Linked DNA regions of Mus musculus. The protein of the gene in region 2 binds, or shares a complex with, the protein of the main gene of each other region. Links are inferred from orthologs where the notes say so. Each region holds a gene or a part of one and is shown on either strand. Other genes may lie near its edges.

What was found. Proteins that work in one complex are often made in the same cells at the same time.
Region 1: the proteins of Nedd4 (region 2) and Grb10 are in contact, whole or in part, in a crystal structure (PDB 3M7F), measured with the Mus musculus proteins. Residues at the interface, in NP_035020.2 of Mus musculus: Glu71, Leu72, Val79, Arg104, Ser112, Ile114, Leu115, Thr116, Ser117, Val118, Gln119, Glu134, Ile135, Leu136, Phe137, Arg138, Leu242, Pro243, His244, Pro245, Pro246; in NP_001357532.1 of Mus musculus: Ile514, Arg516, Gln518, His519, Phe521, His522, Gly523, Arg524, Asp548, Gln579, Phe581, Gly587, Asn588, Thr589, Lys590, Phe591, Ser592, Ile595, Gln596, Asp599, Phe600, Leu603, Asn604, Ile617, Arg618, Val619, Ala620.
Region 3: the proteins of Nedd4 (region 2) and Arrdc3 are in contact, whole or in part, in a crystal structure (PDB 4N7H), measured with the Homo sapiens proteins. The link is inferred for Mus musculus from reciprocal best matches to the Homo sapiens genes NEDD4 and ARRDC3. Residues at the interface, in NP_001271267.1 of Homo sapiens: Glu847, Arg849, Ala851, Pro852, Phe857, Ile859, Asp860, His861, Lys864, Thr865, Thr866, Thr867, Trp868; in NP_065852.1 of Homo sapiens: Glu344, Ala345, Pro346, Pro347, Ser348, Tyr349, Val352.
Region 4: the proteins of Nedd4 (region 2) and Gja1 are in contact, whole or in part, in an NMR structure (PDB 2N8T), measured with the Rattus norvegicus proteins. The link is inferred for Mus musculus from reciprocal best matches to the Homo sapiens genes NEDD4 and GJA1. Residues at the interface, in NP_037118.1 of Rattus norvegicus: Asp416, Asp417, Tyr422, Val424, Asp425, His426, Ser428, Lys429, Thr430, Thr431, Thr432, Trp433; in NP_036699.1 of Rattus norvegicus: Pro277, Leu278, Ser279, Pro280, Met281, Ser282, Pro283, Pro284, Gly285, Tyr286.

What each region holds. Positions count from the first base shown.
Region 1 is NC_000077.6:11,943,410-11,946,924, forward strand, and holds part of Grb10 (growth factor receptor-bound protein 10), read right to left. Parts: intron 3,394-3,515; coding exon 3,278-3,393; intron 2,624-3,277; coding exon 2,555-2,623; intron 2,224-2,554; coding exon 2,086-2,223; intron 1,518-2,085; coding exon 1,407-1,517; intron 572-1,406; coding exon 473-571; intron 1-472.
Region 2 is NC_000075.6:72,691,899-72,696,105, reverse strand, and holds the start of Nedd4 (E3 ubiquitin-protein ligase NEDD4), read right to left. Parts: upstream 2,809-4,207; 5' UTR 2,668-2,808; coding exon 1,240-2,667; intron 1-1,239. UniProt on the Homo sapiens protein: E3 ubiquitin-protein ligase which accepts ubiquitin from an E2 ubiquitin-conjugating enzyme in the form of a thioester and then directly transfers the ubiquitin to targeted substrates. Specifically ubiquitinates 'Lys-63' in target proteins.
Region 3 is NC_000079.6:80,889,918-80,893,432, reverse strand, and holds part of Arrdc3 (arrestin domain-containing protein 3), read right to left. Parts: intron 3,338-3,515; coding exon 3,235-3,337; intron 2,900-3,234; coding exon 2,643-2,899; intron 2,372-2,642; coding exon 2,209-2,371; intron 1,984-2,208; exon of another isoform or gene 1,946-1,983; coding exon 1,791-1,945; intron 64-1,790; coding exon 7-63; 3' UTR 1-6. UniProt on the Homo sapiens protein: Adapter protein that plays a role in regulating cell-surface expression of adrenergic receptors and probably also other G protein-coupled receptors.
Region 4 is NC_000076.6:56,387,296-56,390,930, reverse strand, and holds the end of Gja1 (gap junction alpha-1 protein), read right to left. Parts: intron 3,398-3,635; 5' UTR 3,385-3,397; coding exon 2,236-3,384; 3' UTR 512-2,235; downstream 1-511. UniProt on the Homo sapiens protein: Gap junction protein that acts as a regulator of bladder capacity. A gap junction consists of a cluster of closely packed pairs of transmembrane channels, the connexons, through which materials of low MW diffuse from one cell to a neighboring cell.

The sequences.
Region 1 (3,515 bases), on a different chromosome or scaffold from region 2:
CTAGGCATGCGTACCACACCTAGAAATCTCATTATTTTAACACATTCAAAGTATTCCTTTCACGGCTGGCTTATACCCTGCCAGTCTGATGACAGACTTTGAACAGGCTTAGAACTGAGAGTTGTCTACTGAAGGGGAAATTTCTTACCCTTTGATGTTAGAGGACATTTGGAAACATCTAGAGGCATTTTTGACTGTCTCCACTGATTGGGGGCATCTTGTAGGAGAGACCTACAATGCACAGAGCTCCGTCTTTAGCCAAAAAAGAATCGGTTTCCATCAATACTTGATATTGCTCAAGTTGGAAAACCTGGTTCTACCCTTTCTGAGATCTTAGATATGAAGAATATACAACTACAATTGATAAATCACATTTGGTAGAAATGCCATAGGATTTTTGTGTCAGGATAGACCCACATCCAGCTGCTTGCTCTGCATGTGGTGCAGCCAACTGCAGCCTTGAGTCCTCTACCTTGAGCAGTCTGAAGGCAGTCATCCAGCAAGTACGGATCTGCTCATCTTCGGCACAGAGCAGACGAAGCTCCTTCATCTCGGTCTTCGCTTTGTTTGGCTACAGGAGAAACAGAAAGCGACCAGTGAAACAGTGCGAACTCATACACTCATGTGAGAGAAGGCTGTCCTCAAGCCTCAGAAGCAGGCCACCACGGTGAGATCCAAATACAACTAGTCACTGGTTATCTGTGCAAAGGCAAGGAAGCTGATCTAGCTACCACCTCCCAGGTATCCATGAAGATTCAGTAAATGACAGTGACTATAAAAAGATAACAGGTCATAAATAGGAGTTCAGGAGACAGTAGTCACCACTATGATCAACACTGCCACAATCTCACCAAGAGGAAAATTAACATGATCTTGGCTGTGGTGTATGTGCATGTATGTGCAAGCATGCATTGCTTGTACCTATGTACACATTGACATCTGTGTGTTCTGACTATAGGCATACATCTCTATCAATGTGTCAGTGTTCTCATAAATACACATAGTGGGTAGGGAGTATTGTGGTCAACCCTCATGACACACAGACAGTACACTCAGTAGTTGCAAACAATCAGATGTCAGGTCAGGAGTTCCCTCCTTCCCCTTCTTAACCAGCTTCTGCCTCTCCTTATTATGACCAGGTAAAAGCTGTAGCTGGTGCAGGAGGCTAATGGCTACCTGGCCTTAAGTCACTGAGGCCTTTTAGTGTTCCGGGGCTATTTAAAAAGAACAACAACAACAGCAACAACAACAAAACAACCCACATCAAATCATAAGCACACAATGAGGCCAGTGTGAAAAAGAAAAAAAAAAAAAAGGTTTCTGTTTAGAGTAGAAGGATCTACAACCAAATAGATACTGGCCAGGAGAAAACTCCTCTGCACAACTCCCAGTCCCAGCTCAAGTACCTTGATGCACATCCCATGTTCATTCGGCGCGTTGTACTGCTTCTTTCCAGCAATCAGGTAGAAGATGCTGCTTTCTTCCAGGTCAGCCAGCAGCTGCAGGTGTCTGGGTTCCTGCAAAACAGCAGTTAAGTGAACTGTGAGGTCACATTTTCTGGAAAAAAAAAAGTCTGTAGTGCTATAAGCTCACTTTTTCCCCCTGGTCACACACACCGAACTGAAAGGACATCATGAAATCTCAACAGCATAAACCACAAATGCCAGCTTTGTGTTACAATAGACTCACTTTGTTTTTATGAACTATGCAATTCTTAAAATTTGCTCCAGTAGAGTGAAAACCATATTTTGCTTATGAATACAGGACAACAATCCAGCACCTATCCTATGGCAGGTAGGATCTAATTTCCAAATTATGAAAACCAAGTATGCCCCTGCATTGACTGAGTCATCCAGGAGGGTCTATATTCAGCCCACAGTAGGGATCCAGGGCTGACCATCCTAGAAGCTGCCTTGCGTTTCCATCCAATTTTTGATAGACCAGTACACTGGTCCCTGTGTGTACAGTTATTATATAAATTGACTATTAATTAGTTAAAAGAGGTTCAGGGGCTTTTAAAAATTAAGCCCAAGTCCACAGCAAGAACACCTAGTACAGGGAAAGGTGGAGTGTTCTAAAACTTACTTTTGAAGTCCCCTTGGTGGAGTAATAGAGGCCAGATCTGCGCAGGCACACATACAGCTTCTTCCAAGACTTGCGTCCTACCTCTTTCACCTGCAAGAACCCCTGGATCTCAGGGCAGCTGCTGGTGTTCAGAAAATTCTGTGAAGGAATAAATTTTTAAAATTAGGCAATATGCACATAAAATAATGAAAGCAGATAACTTATTACATATAACTGAGATTTTCTGAATCATTAAAATACTTTGGGGAAGCTTAGGCAAAATGTTCTTCCTTCAAACTTCTTAAAATCCCAACAGAACTGGTATTGTGTAGAACATAGCAATGTTGGAATAGAAAGAAGCAAATGGCTCCCACTACGGTGTAGTAGGAATGCTGCTACTTTCCTTAGAAGATGGAGCATTTTGGGCATCTGCTCCTTGTCAACTTTCCAGCAAGTTTGTTTCAGCAAGAATGCAGTGTTTGCTTAGTACCTGCAGAAGCTGCGCCTGGCCACCGTTGGACTGCTGGCACCAATTGACCATCTGATCCGGGAAGAAGTTCTGAGAAACAAGGAGAAACAAGGGTATTATAGACACATGTCTGCCAATATTAAAATTTTTCCAGGTATGATAATGATCCATTTGTATTTTAGATAACAGTCCTTCTCACTCTTTTATCAAAACTTGTACATAAGAAAACCAAAAGCAAGTGAATAAATAACAGCATGGTGATGGTAGTTCTTCTGAATTACCTAGAACTATTACATTTCTTTCTTTCCAAGAAAACAGTGAAGCAGAACCAGAACCAGAAGTGGACACTGGTCTCCCCTAGCTGACGGTCAGTCTGCTTGGTGACTCAGGAAAAGACCAAAGGCTCAGAAGTCATGAATGCCCCTTTCCTACTGTGTCACCTGACAGGCACCTCCCCACAAAGGGAAACAAAATTAAGGCGTTGATGTCAGCATACCAACATACAATGAAGAAAGTGTCTGGTATTTGCTGATTATTTGATTAATTTGTTCTAGTGTTACCATCTCTACCCTTGTAGGAAGGAGACGGTCGCCATGACATCTGGTGATGATTGGGTTGTGAGGCCTGTTTAATTAAATAGTGACTCAGCTTCTTAAACCCACGTACCCATAAGTCTCAGCTTGTCACCTGACAATCAGGTTTTATTCAACCCAAGTATAAACTCCAAGATTTCAGGAGACTTACCACTGGATTCTTAAAGAACTCGTACTTCGCATAATTCTTTCTGAATAAGAATTTGCTCTCACTTGGCATGGTACTCTCCACTTGGACCACGATCTCATGGTCCTCCAGGCACCTCTCTGTAGGGAGAACCATCACATGTGAGGTGTGACAGAACCTTCAAGGCCATTTCACAAGGTCAAGAGCTGTTTTTAAGCACCAGGAACAACACTAAATTTTACTCTTTTTAATTTGCTGATGG
Region 2 (4,207 bases):
AGATTCATAACTTCTTAGGTTTCTTTGAATGTAGACTCTGTGAGTAACATCGACTGAATTGGCAGAGTACTAATGCTGCTTTAAGGACCCAGCACTTTGGGGAAGAGAATTAAACCGATTATAATGTTCCAAAAACTGTTTTAGAAAAATTTTGCAAGTGGAATGAATAACTCTAAAACAAAGATCAAACTTTGAAATCTAATCTTCTCTTATCCCCAGTGAAGTAGCTGCGTAGATTAACCTTGGGTGGACACAATGATTATATTTTCCAGATTTCAAAAGAGAGAAAAAAGAGCCCAATTACCTAATTTTCTAACTCCATCTGTCTAGACATTATCTGGATTCCCCCCACACTCCTCCAACATTTAATACAGGCATTGCCATGAAAAGAAGCAAGGTCCCTTCACAAGAAAGAAATAGAGCACGCCAGCCAGCATATGTGTTGTCAATCTAGAGCTAATGTCGTCAGAAAAACAATTAAATTTCCTGGAATTTTGCAAAACCTTCCAAATACAGACATGGTAAAGGCTACTTTAGTTTTAAAGATTGTAAATAATTTGAAAAGGCCAAATTACATAAAATGCCAATCTGGCTAAGATCTGTTAGAGCTAAATTACTAATAAAATAAAGCAACATTGTGAGAACAATAAACTAGTGTAGTAAATTGAAAATTATAGAAACTACCTAGTACGTTTAAGCCAATTCAAACACATAAAACTTAGAAATCAATACTGCTGAAAAAGTGAGTTACATTTTGGGAGACAGCGATCACTGGGAACTCAGGAAAAATAGGGTGCAAACAGCATTCCTGTGGCTAGGGTGTATGTAAATGCAAAGCCCACTTACTTTTCCTCTGCTTGAAACATTCAATATAATAGTCTTTTTGATCAGCGATCTTACAAATACATGTGTTTTAAGAGGGAGAAGAAAATCCCATTTCTGAAGGTAAGAAGAACAAATATCCCAAGATCGAGTGTTATGACATCGAGCCAGTTCTGGAAGAATTTTAGGATTTAAATCACCAAGGAAAGGTTTTTTTGGTTTTTTTTTTGTTTGTTTGTTTTAAAAGTAGTTTATCCATTGGTAAAATAAGAAAGAGCTTTACAAATATAAAATTGAAGCTTTCTAAAAACTTCCTCACTAAGGGCCACAGAAAGGAACAGATAGTGCTATAATCAAGTATAATCAGTATAGCTAAGAATTCCAGGAAGTATTTTTTCAAGACCAGAGGAATCTTACCTTACAAACATCAGACAGTTCATTTGTCAAGTCTCTCTGTCTCCAGAAACTATCAACTTTACCATCATTCCCAGATGCAAACTTAATGAGCAACTGAGATGGTCCCCCCTTTGAACAATTGTGCTTCAGGCTGGATAAGCAGGAAATATTTGGGTATGTCCCACCCAGCGAAACACTTCTTTGCAAAGCAGCATGGCCTTTGCTTATCGGTGAATTTGGTCTTTCCAACTCTCCACGGATGTTTAAATGGTAACCCATGTCTGATGCGGTTGGCAAGCAAGGGGATGCCCTCTGTTTGAGCATGCCATGGTCCAAATCAGACTGCAGCTGAAGTTCTAACCTCTCTGATGTGCAGCCACCACGGGGGTTTGCACAATCTGATGTCGTTGGTTTTTGTTGGGTCAAGTGCACGGAAACACAGGAAAATCCTTCTGGCAACTTCTCACACACAGTTTGTTTGGGCCTATTATTTGAAATGACAATTTTCTTTTGCAATGAGCCCTTGGCATGGAGTGGCCGTACATCTCTGACTTCTCCAGGAGTACAAACCATTTTAGATAATCGAAGCCCGTTGACAGCTGTTGACAGAAAGCCTTTGGTGCCAGATCCATCTTCATGATGTGCAGTTTCAGTAGGTGATACAACCAACTGGTGTGAGGTCTGGTAGGCACCTCTGCTCGTCGGGGATGCTGGTGGGGTGTTTGAAGGACTCCTGGGGAAAATGACCAAAGACGTGCAGCGCTTCAGTGGACCCTTTGCGTTCCTACTCACTGGCAGTTTCATAATCTCTACTCCACGATCCAGGTCCTCCTGGGCAAAGGGAAGTCTACTGGGACTTCCGCACATAACTTCACGGGGTGTAGTGTCGACTGGCACGCTTCTGTTGGAGGCGTTGTCAGAAGGTAAATTTCCACTGAAAAAGGTCTCATAGCCACTACTGTCGCTGACACCACTGCCGGTGGAGGAGCCTCCACTTGCGAGGCTTGCACAAGACCCACAGTCACTGCCACTGCTGCTGTAAGACCCACTGTCACTGGCTGAGAAGTTACTGAGGCTGCCATTGTCCAGCTCACTGTCAATTCCACTGCTGCTGCAAACATCATCCTTTGAAGCACAGGTAGAGGAAGTACTGTCCCTATCAGCCACGACAGTGTCAGATGGAAGACACCCTCCGTATCTGGGCTGCAGTGAGATCTGCAGGCAGCTGCTCTTTTTGTCAGTACTTTCAGAGGATCTATGCTCTACCCACGGAGCCTGTGGCGCCTGTCTGGGGGTCAGCCTCATTTGAACCACACTAGCCACTGAGATCCGGGGCCGCCTCTGGCCGTGTGTGTCAACGTGGCTATCCAAGTCATCTCCAGAGGGTTCCGACAGAGGGTAAGTCTTGCTTCTTCTGGCGGCAAAGTGCAGTCGTAAACTCTGTGCCATTTGTTCTCATTTCCAAGCATGTTCAGGGCTGAGAGTCAAAACAAAGAGCTCTGTCTGTAGTCAGGCTAGCGCAGCTGTGCTGCATCCAGAGGAAAAAACCATCGGCGGTGTTGAAAAAGCTCGTGGGGAGGCGTCTTTAACTTCAGATACCAGATTTCATAGAAAAGGACGACCCATGCCCGAGATTGACGTTCCCCAAGTGTCTAGAATCGCCGGGAGTCAGAACGCCTTCACTGACAAAGCACTTGATTTCCAGCGACCTTTAAGCTGAGCTCAGCTGCAGCCCTGACTCAAACACAGCCAACCTTGTTTCAATTATACCTTCGCCAATTTGCATGAATGAGTAACGCAAGAACAACAAGCTTCTTCAATTTCAACTGGGAAACCTAGTTTTTCACCCCAGCCCTACAAAACGAACATTTAACTCCCGAAATCTCAGTGCCTACAACTTCCCCCGGTGATCCTCACCGCTAATATTTTCACTGAATGCTATAGGATTACAGGAAATGGGTACAAATAAAACCTGTGTGATTGAGTATCAAATTAAAGATTGAATTTCAAAATATGGCCATACTGAGAGATTTAGTCAGGTTTAATGCAGGGACTACGCGGACTGTAATATTTTTTCAGGAATGAGTAAATGAAAACAGCTGAATAACTTGGAAATACAAAAACGTGGGGTGAGGGGCATAAAGCCTAACCGTCAAATTGAACAAGGTAAATATTTTAGCAAAACACAATTATGAAAGTGAAAGTTGACAAACTGAACTACAAAACGAGCCCAGTAACATTGTTGTAAACACCAAATAACCTCCTCAAGGGGAAATTTTTAAAAAAAGGCTGAGGAGAAGCTGTCACCAACCATTTTGTCCTGTAATTTTAACGTTTAATGCAGCCAAGTAGTACAGTCTTTAAATGATGCCATTTATATTTTGACTATTAAAATCCTGCCAAGAAATAGCCTGGGTAAACATTCCATTAAAAACATATGCAGATTAGACAGAAAAGCTACACCCCAATATAGTCTGAACACATTGGATATTTTATTCCACTGTGTGCAATTCATTCACTTAAAGAGAGTGTTGTGGTAAGTAAAGAAGCCTAAAAAGGATTTAACACATCAAATAAACATATCTCAATGGCAATCCTGTTCTCGGAGAGTCCTCTGCGGGCCCTACTGGTGCTTTAAAACAACCCAGGCAGCTGTTAGACACCTATAAAGACAAGACATACAAACCAGGCCACATATTTCATAATATAAACAAGGCAGGCCCTTGTTTACATCTTTGCCCACTAGCATGGCCTCTGAGGTAGAATTACGAGTACTGATAAAACTCTCACAGCAGAGAACAGTAGACGGCTTGTCCTTCAGAGGTGGTGATTCTCTGTATATATAGATATATATTTCTGATTTATGTTTACATAACCTTTACTGTATTTTCAGCTTACTCGGCAATAAAGGCTTAATATTTTAATTTCTCTCCCAAATGTCACAGACCAAGGTTGGTATTCTATTTGAAAGAAGCAAATTTATTTTTAA
Region 3 (3,515 bases), on a different chromosome or scaffold from region 2:
GTTGCTTCAGCGAGAGGGGCATGATGGTCTGTCCTCGGATGACTGATCAGGATTTGGATCAATCTAGTAGGAATAAGATAAAATTTACAAAGTTAACTTGGTAAGGTGAAGGAAGAATGCAACACTTATCTGCTTTTCAGTAACAATCAGCAAATATAACCAATATAATCAGAGGCTATACATAACTTCTTAGGCTAATTATACACTGGTGTTCCCTCCCTCGGAAGTGCTACATGAGAACGCAAGGGTACTACTAGCATTATAGTTCTGCATGAATAGTTCAATTGCACACAAGTTCCTGGCGGGCTCTCTTTTAGCAGGGCAGTTTCACTCAACATCAGCGGTGCGTACACTCAGATATAGCACTGGAATATAGCATCAAACCGCTCATGTCCTTTGTAAAGTGACTCTTTTGTTCTTGTTCTAAAGGCTAGTGCACCTTTTCCTGAGGGTCTCTGGCTCCTGTGAAACTTAAGGGTCTTCTGGACAAGTCTGATCCATTTGAACTTAAATGTCAGACACCCACAGTACCTCACAAGTTTTCCACAAAATACACATCTCTGAAGAAAACAGCCAGTTGTCTTGTAGTTAAGTTACATTCCAGAGCTATTTTAGTGTTGTACAAGTTTTAAAGTAACTTATAATCATCTTGAAATGGGCAGAATTTATGAAAAATTAGATGAAATTAATACTATTTATATATTCATTTAAAAAATTTCCCCATGAAAGCTATGAATACTCAAAGTAAGCCAGAAGCAAAATAAAAAAATATAAGAATAAAAATACAGTAATAGAATTTGTGAGAAATGGTAGAACATTTTCATAATCAAACACATATTTTATAGACCACAATAAGACAGGAAAATGTCTAAGCAGAAATGTGTAAGAGCAGATTCTGAGTACCCTGTAGTCGATGAGGATGGCTTTAGGGAACCATGTCTCCAGTTATGGTTCACAGCAATTGGTGGCAAAGTAAAAACAAGATCCTTTGTGTCTAATGCATATAAGACAGTGGAATAAATTACATAATCCAGGGGGTGATTCTCTTGATTTATAATTATTTTGGTTATCAAGGTCAATTTGAAAGGTCCTATAAAAATGTCTACTGTTGGCTCGTCATGTAAGAAAGCCCCTTCTGTCCTTCCTCTGGCCTGCCTTTCCTGCCTATACAGTCCCATCTTTGGAGGGCCAGTCATAGTTTAAAATTCAGCTTTAAGAATCATCTTTCTCAGAGAAGCACTCTGATTACCTAAGCGCCAATAAACTCCTCATTACCTGAGTGCTGTTTCCTAACACTGTTAAAGTAGGATTTCACTTTGAATCTTTTTTTTTTCACTAACTAATTTGTGAGATTATCCAAAGTGCTTATCTTTACTCACGAGTGCCCAATGTGATCAACATGAAGAGCATAAATAATTTAGCTGTGTTTTTTAAAAAGTCATTTGGAAATATGCTAACTTTTCTTATGACTAAGAATGCTAAAATATGTAAAAACTAGATTGGAGGACTATGAATAATATAAATTCTAGATATTTAATTAATGTTTACAAAGTTATAAGGTTATTTCTTAAAAATGCTAATGAATCAACTAGAGTTTGAAGGTCATATTATTTCCTGGATGAAGTCCTACGTGTTGAAGTTAGAAACTTTGACAATTGTAACTTTTAAGCTGTTCTAAATTTTTACTCCTGAGATAATCAAGAAGCAACTGTCTTGCTAAAGCCTTTTTAAAACCGTCTACTGCTGCTTCCTCGGAGACTCAGTACATTGTTATTTGCCTTGGTGCTTACCTCTGAATAGAGAGGTGGGGGCAGGAACCGAAACTCCTGGATATAAGCAAACAGTGGTCCTTGGAGAGCTCTCTCAAAATCATCACAAGCACCCACTGGGGCGAGATTATTCCGTCTCTGTTCCTCCGTTACAACCTCTGCATAGCTGGGTGGTGCTGAAGGAGAAAGATACACGCAATTCGAACAACATGTTCTTATGCATGTCAAGATACACAGAATAGTAGATATTAAAAAAGTGTCATGTGAAAGTGTAATTATTTGTTTGGTGATTAAAACAAGAGAGACATATAACCAAACTTAACATTAAGGTCACATGTGCTAAGGAAAGGTACAATTTAACTAGGAATATAATATACCAAAACAAAAGAGAAAGTCTTAATAGTACTCGAGTCCATTTAAAACTGTGTTATGTAATTACCTTCAGGTCTTTCAGGAAGGGCCAGAGCCAGCCAGTTCATACTCATGCTACACTGACTGCTCACACTTGAGGTTCTGCTACCAAACGGGTGCAGAGGGATGGTCCCGATGACGAGGGGCAAACTGAGAAGCAAATCCATGGCCCCAGGAATATCCACGTACACCTACAGAGACAGAAGCTTCGGTCAGCACTCCACGTACAACCGTCTTTAAAACACACCCTAATTCTCATATTAGCTGTGATTTCCTTTTAATTTCTTCACAATTTCTCTTTTATGTGCCATGTTCTAGGCTTATGAGAGGTAGAATTACAATGCAAAGTTTCACATACACATTTACACCCCACTTTAAGTGGACTACGAAAACCATACTTGGATAAGCTAACACTACAACCCCACAACTTTAAGTCATAAAAACTTCATACTTTACACCTACCATTAGCGAATATTCCACTCGGATTATACTACAGTCGAGGATGGAGGGTGAAACCGGTGGGATTTTGAGCAGCTTGCCATTCCACGTCTCTGTCTTCCCAGAGGATAAAGACTCGCCACGTAAGTTTGCCACAAGCTGTTTTACTTCCTTCATTTTCCCTTTGGCATAGAAGGCCTGCGTCTGGTAAATGGCCGCCTTTGGCACTACCATTCGGGAAGAGCAGTTCTCAATCTCGGCAAATATCTGGATTGATTCACCTGCAGAGGGAAGCCGTTACATTTACTATTAGAAAACAAGCCAACACCCACTATAAAGTGTAGACCTCTGAAGCTCAACTATGAAGCCCATATAACTCTATGGCAGAGAAACCATCCTGGACATGAGCAAAGTGACTTCCAGTTAAAACAAGACCTGCTCCCTCTCGGTATCCCAAGAGAACAGCAGCCCCCACTGTAAGAAGAAAACGGACAGAGACAATGGGAACAGCTGTCCTAGGGAAGACTGGGTGCTTACTGTTGGTATTTGTCATATTCGATGTGCATACACAAATACTTAGTAAATTGCTTTTTGGGGGCTTCAACCTCACACATACCTGGGGTGTAGCCCTTCCTTTCAATCTTGGCACTTAAGGATATGGGGCCTGAGGTGCAGAACCAGCAACAGAGTGTCTTTTCTTTTGTGCCTGCTTGGGGTGACTGTAAAAAATAGAGAAAAAACATCAATGTACAAACTCATAAAAATGCCACATTTTAAAAATCAAATTAGAGAATTGATTTTGTTCCCTTAGTCAATGGTTTTAAATGACACCAACTTCTGTCTTTATATAAACTTCCATTCAATAAAGAAAAAAAAATGCTTTACATCCTACTCCAA
Region 4 (3,635 bases), on a different chromosome or scaffold from region 2:
ACTACCTCGGGCCTACAACTCCATGTATCGAGGAAGCCATGGCAAGAGAATGTAGAGGCTGGCAAAAAATTCTAGGTTCGATTCTATGAGTGTGTGAGACCTGGTGTGGAGTTTAACTGTTCTCCCAATTAAACATTTGTATGCTTTATTTCCTGTTAAAATATTACCTCAATATTTCAAAATCAATGATGCTTATGGTGTTTGTCCTTAAAAATCAAACTAACAAAACACTGTTCTTCAAAGAGCCAGATTTGATTCCCAGCACCCACATGGCAGTTCACAACTATCTCTAGGGGATTTGACACTAATTTTTTTTTTTTCCTGGCCACTGCAAGCAGCAACATACCATTGCACAGAGATACCGGCAAGCAAAAGATGAAAATAAAATAAAAGTGGATTTCATTAGCCCAAGACATTGTAATTATGGGATCTACTTTTGGTAATCTTGAATAAATTTGGTAAGTTTTCTTGTTTTTTTTGTTTTTTAAATCACACAAGACATGCAGGTTATCTTTATTATACTAAATTAAAATTTTATTGAATAAAGAACACTTTCCCGAGCACATTGATTGGATGGGCTAGGTCTACATTACATGCAATGAAGCTGAACATGACAGTAGTTTAACATGGAATGTCAAACAAATTAGTTTCTCATTGTCCAAAAACTCCTTGTGTAGCTGGCGCGCAAGAGGAAACATGATAACTCGACATTTCAATCATCTGTGATGAGTTTTTTTAAGTCACTTGAAGAAACTGGTAGGTGTCTTTAGCTTACAGTTCAAATAAATTAGTTACATGTGCACTGCTGAAAACTCCTTCACCCCCTCTAGTATCTCAAAGAAAATCTTAGTGCAAACATCCAAGTTGCTCGTCAATCTAAAAGACTGTTAAACTCAGAATACAAGTTCTGAGTTAATGTGTAGTTAAGTAGGACAAAAATTACCAGATTACCAGTTACTACAAAGTTCCTTTAGGCTCACTTGATAGTCCACTCTAAGCAACCCTCTTCTAAGTCTCTCACATTAATGACTAAAGCCTGTTTACAGTACTAAAATTCTATCATTCAAGCATCAATGATTATATTTCAGAAAAAGGAAATCATTCATTTCAGTAATGGCTATTACTGCTACATTCTAAAAAAGAAAAAAAAATCATAATTAACAAAACCAGTATCCATAATAGGATACGTGGAAAAAATATTTTAGGGAAAAAGTGTGTGCTTTACACTTTTGCACGGCAGGAATTCTATAATGTAAACACCACGTTGGCCCACACCACAAAGATCCATGAGGAAGGTTCAAATTTGAACACTGTGTGAATTCGATTCAAATCTGTGAGTTTATACTGCCTCTGCTTGTACCAATAATGACAAAACACACGCTTACACACTTGCACACCCACACATAGACAGAAGCGATTGTTAAATATTGAGCATGGCTTGCCTCCCTGATGCTAACTCAAAAAAAAAAAAAAAAAAGACTTTCTCACTGTTTTAAAAATGTCGATAGAAATCATTTGGTGAGGGTGAGGACCAGCTGAGGATAATATATGGAAGACACAAAGGTGGGACAGATTTGAAAAAGAACCCACTGAGATGCAAATACATGGGCAATCTTTTTCTTTGAACCTTGTCTGAACTTCGAATTGATACCTACCAAGAATGAAAATCGTGTATAGTAGCATAAGGTCCATCCACACCTAGAGGGTCAGGCCAGGGAAGCTCGCCTGCAAACTGCCAAGTTTTTAAACACTGGAATGTTTTTTAGCGGGGATGTAGGACAACCTGTCTTTTCATAAAGGAAATGCCATGTTGAGGACTTGGATTCCTGCTCAAAGCTCTATGGCAGAATCTCAGTAAAACAAAAATTAAAAAAAATATATATCACCCACTCACTCATGTATACAGAACCATTCTTAAGGTTCAGTTGGGGGGCAGAGAGAGAAAGCCCTATCTATGTTTCATCCAATGAGACTCTTACTAGAATTTAAGCTCTTTGAATCTTCTACATTAAATACCGTTACATACCTCCCCTTTCCCTACTTTTGCCGCCTAGCTATCCCAAAACACCCCCCAAGGAACCTAGATATTGTAATGTCTTTGTTTTCTACGCCTCATTACTGAGGTTGTTGAGTACCACCTCCACGGGAACGAAATGAACACCCCAGGTGCACGTTCTGCAAGCACCCTTTTTTTTCTCCTCCACAATCGATTGGCAGCTTGATGTTCAAGCCTGTTTAAATCTCCAGGTCATCAGGCCGAGGTCTGCTGCTGGCGCGGCTGCTGGCTCTGCTGGAAGGTCGCTGATCCACGATAGCTAAGGGCTGGAGTTCGTGTCCAGCAGCAACTTTTTTGGCATTTTGGCTGTCGTCAGGGAAATCAAACGGCTGGGCGTGGGAGTTGGAGATGGTGCTTCCGGCCTGCCCCATTCGATTTTGCTCTGCGCTGTAATTCGCCCAGTTTTGCTCGCTGGCTTGCTTGTTGTAATTGCGGCAGGAGGAATTGTTTCTGTCACCAGTGACCAGCTTGTACCCAGGAGGAGACATAGGTGAGAGTGGGGCCGTTGGTGAGGAGCAGCCATTGAAGTAAGCATATTTTGGAGATCCGCAGTCTTTGGATGGGCTCAGTGGGCCGGTGGTGGCGTGGTAAGGATCGCTTCTTCCCTTCACGCGATCCTTAACGCCCTTGAAGAAGACATAGAAGAGCTCAATGATATTCAGAGCGAGAGACACCAAGGACACCACCAGCATGAAGATGATGAAGATGGTTTTCTCCGTGGGACGTGAGAGGAAGCAGTCCACCTGGTGGGGGCAGGGATCTCTCTTGCAGGTGTAGACCGCACTCAGGCTGAACCCATAGATGTACCACTGGATCAGCAGGAAGGCCACCTCGAAGACAGACTTGAAGAGGATGCTGATGATGTAGGTTCTCAGCAGGCCACCTCTCATCTTCACCTTGCCGTGTTCTTCAATCCCATACTTGAACTTCTTGATTTCAATCTGCTTCAGGTGCATCTCCACGTTGACCCCGTCGGTCTGCGCCACTTTGAGCTCCTCTTCTTTCTTGTTCAGCTTCTCTTCCTTTCTCATCACATAGAACACGTGAGCCAAGTACAGGAGTGTGGGCACAGACACGAATATGATCTGAAGGACCCAGAAGCGCACGTGAGAGATGGGGAAGGACTTGTCATAGCAGACATTTTCACAACCGGGTTGTTGAGTGTTACAGCGAAAGGCAGACTGTTCATCACCCCAAGCTGACTCAACCGCTGTCCCCAGGAGCAGGATTCTGAAAATGAAGAGCACCGACAGCCACACCTTCCCTCCGGCCGTGGAGTAGGCTTGGACCTTGTCCAGCAGCTTCCCCAAGGCGCTCCAGTCACCCATGTCTGGGCACCTCCTAAGAAAAACAAAAACAAAAACCACGAAAACAACTCAGTGATTGTAGACTGTAAATTGATGGTTTCACATATATAGTTTCTTTTTTCAGGGGTCAGTCAAAATAAGGCAGTTTCAACCCAAGCCAAAACAGAATCCAAGGGCAAATCTGGCAGCATTTCCCAAAGATGAAGTTGACTCGGAAGTAATAGCACCCAGATACAGGGAGAAGAGCGAGCCCAACTTGCCGAAGATGTATT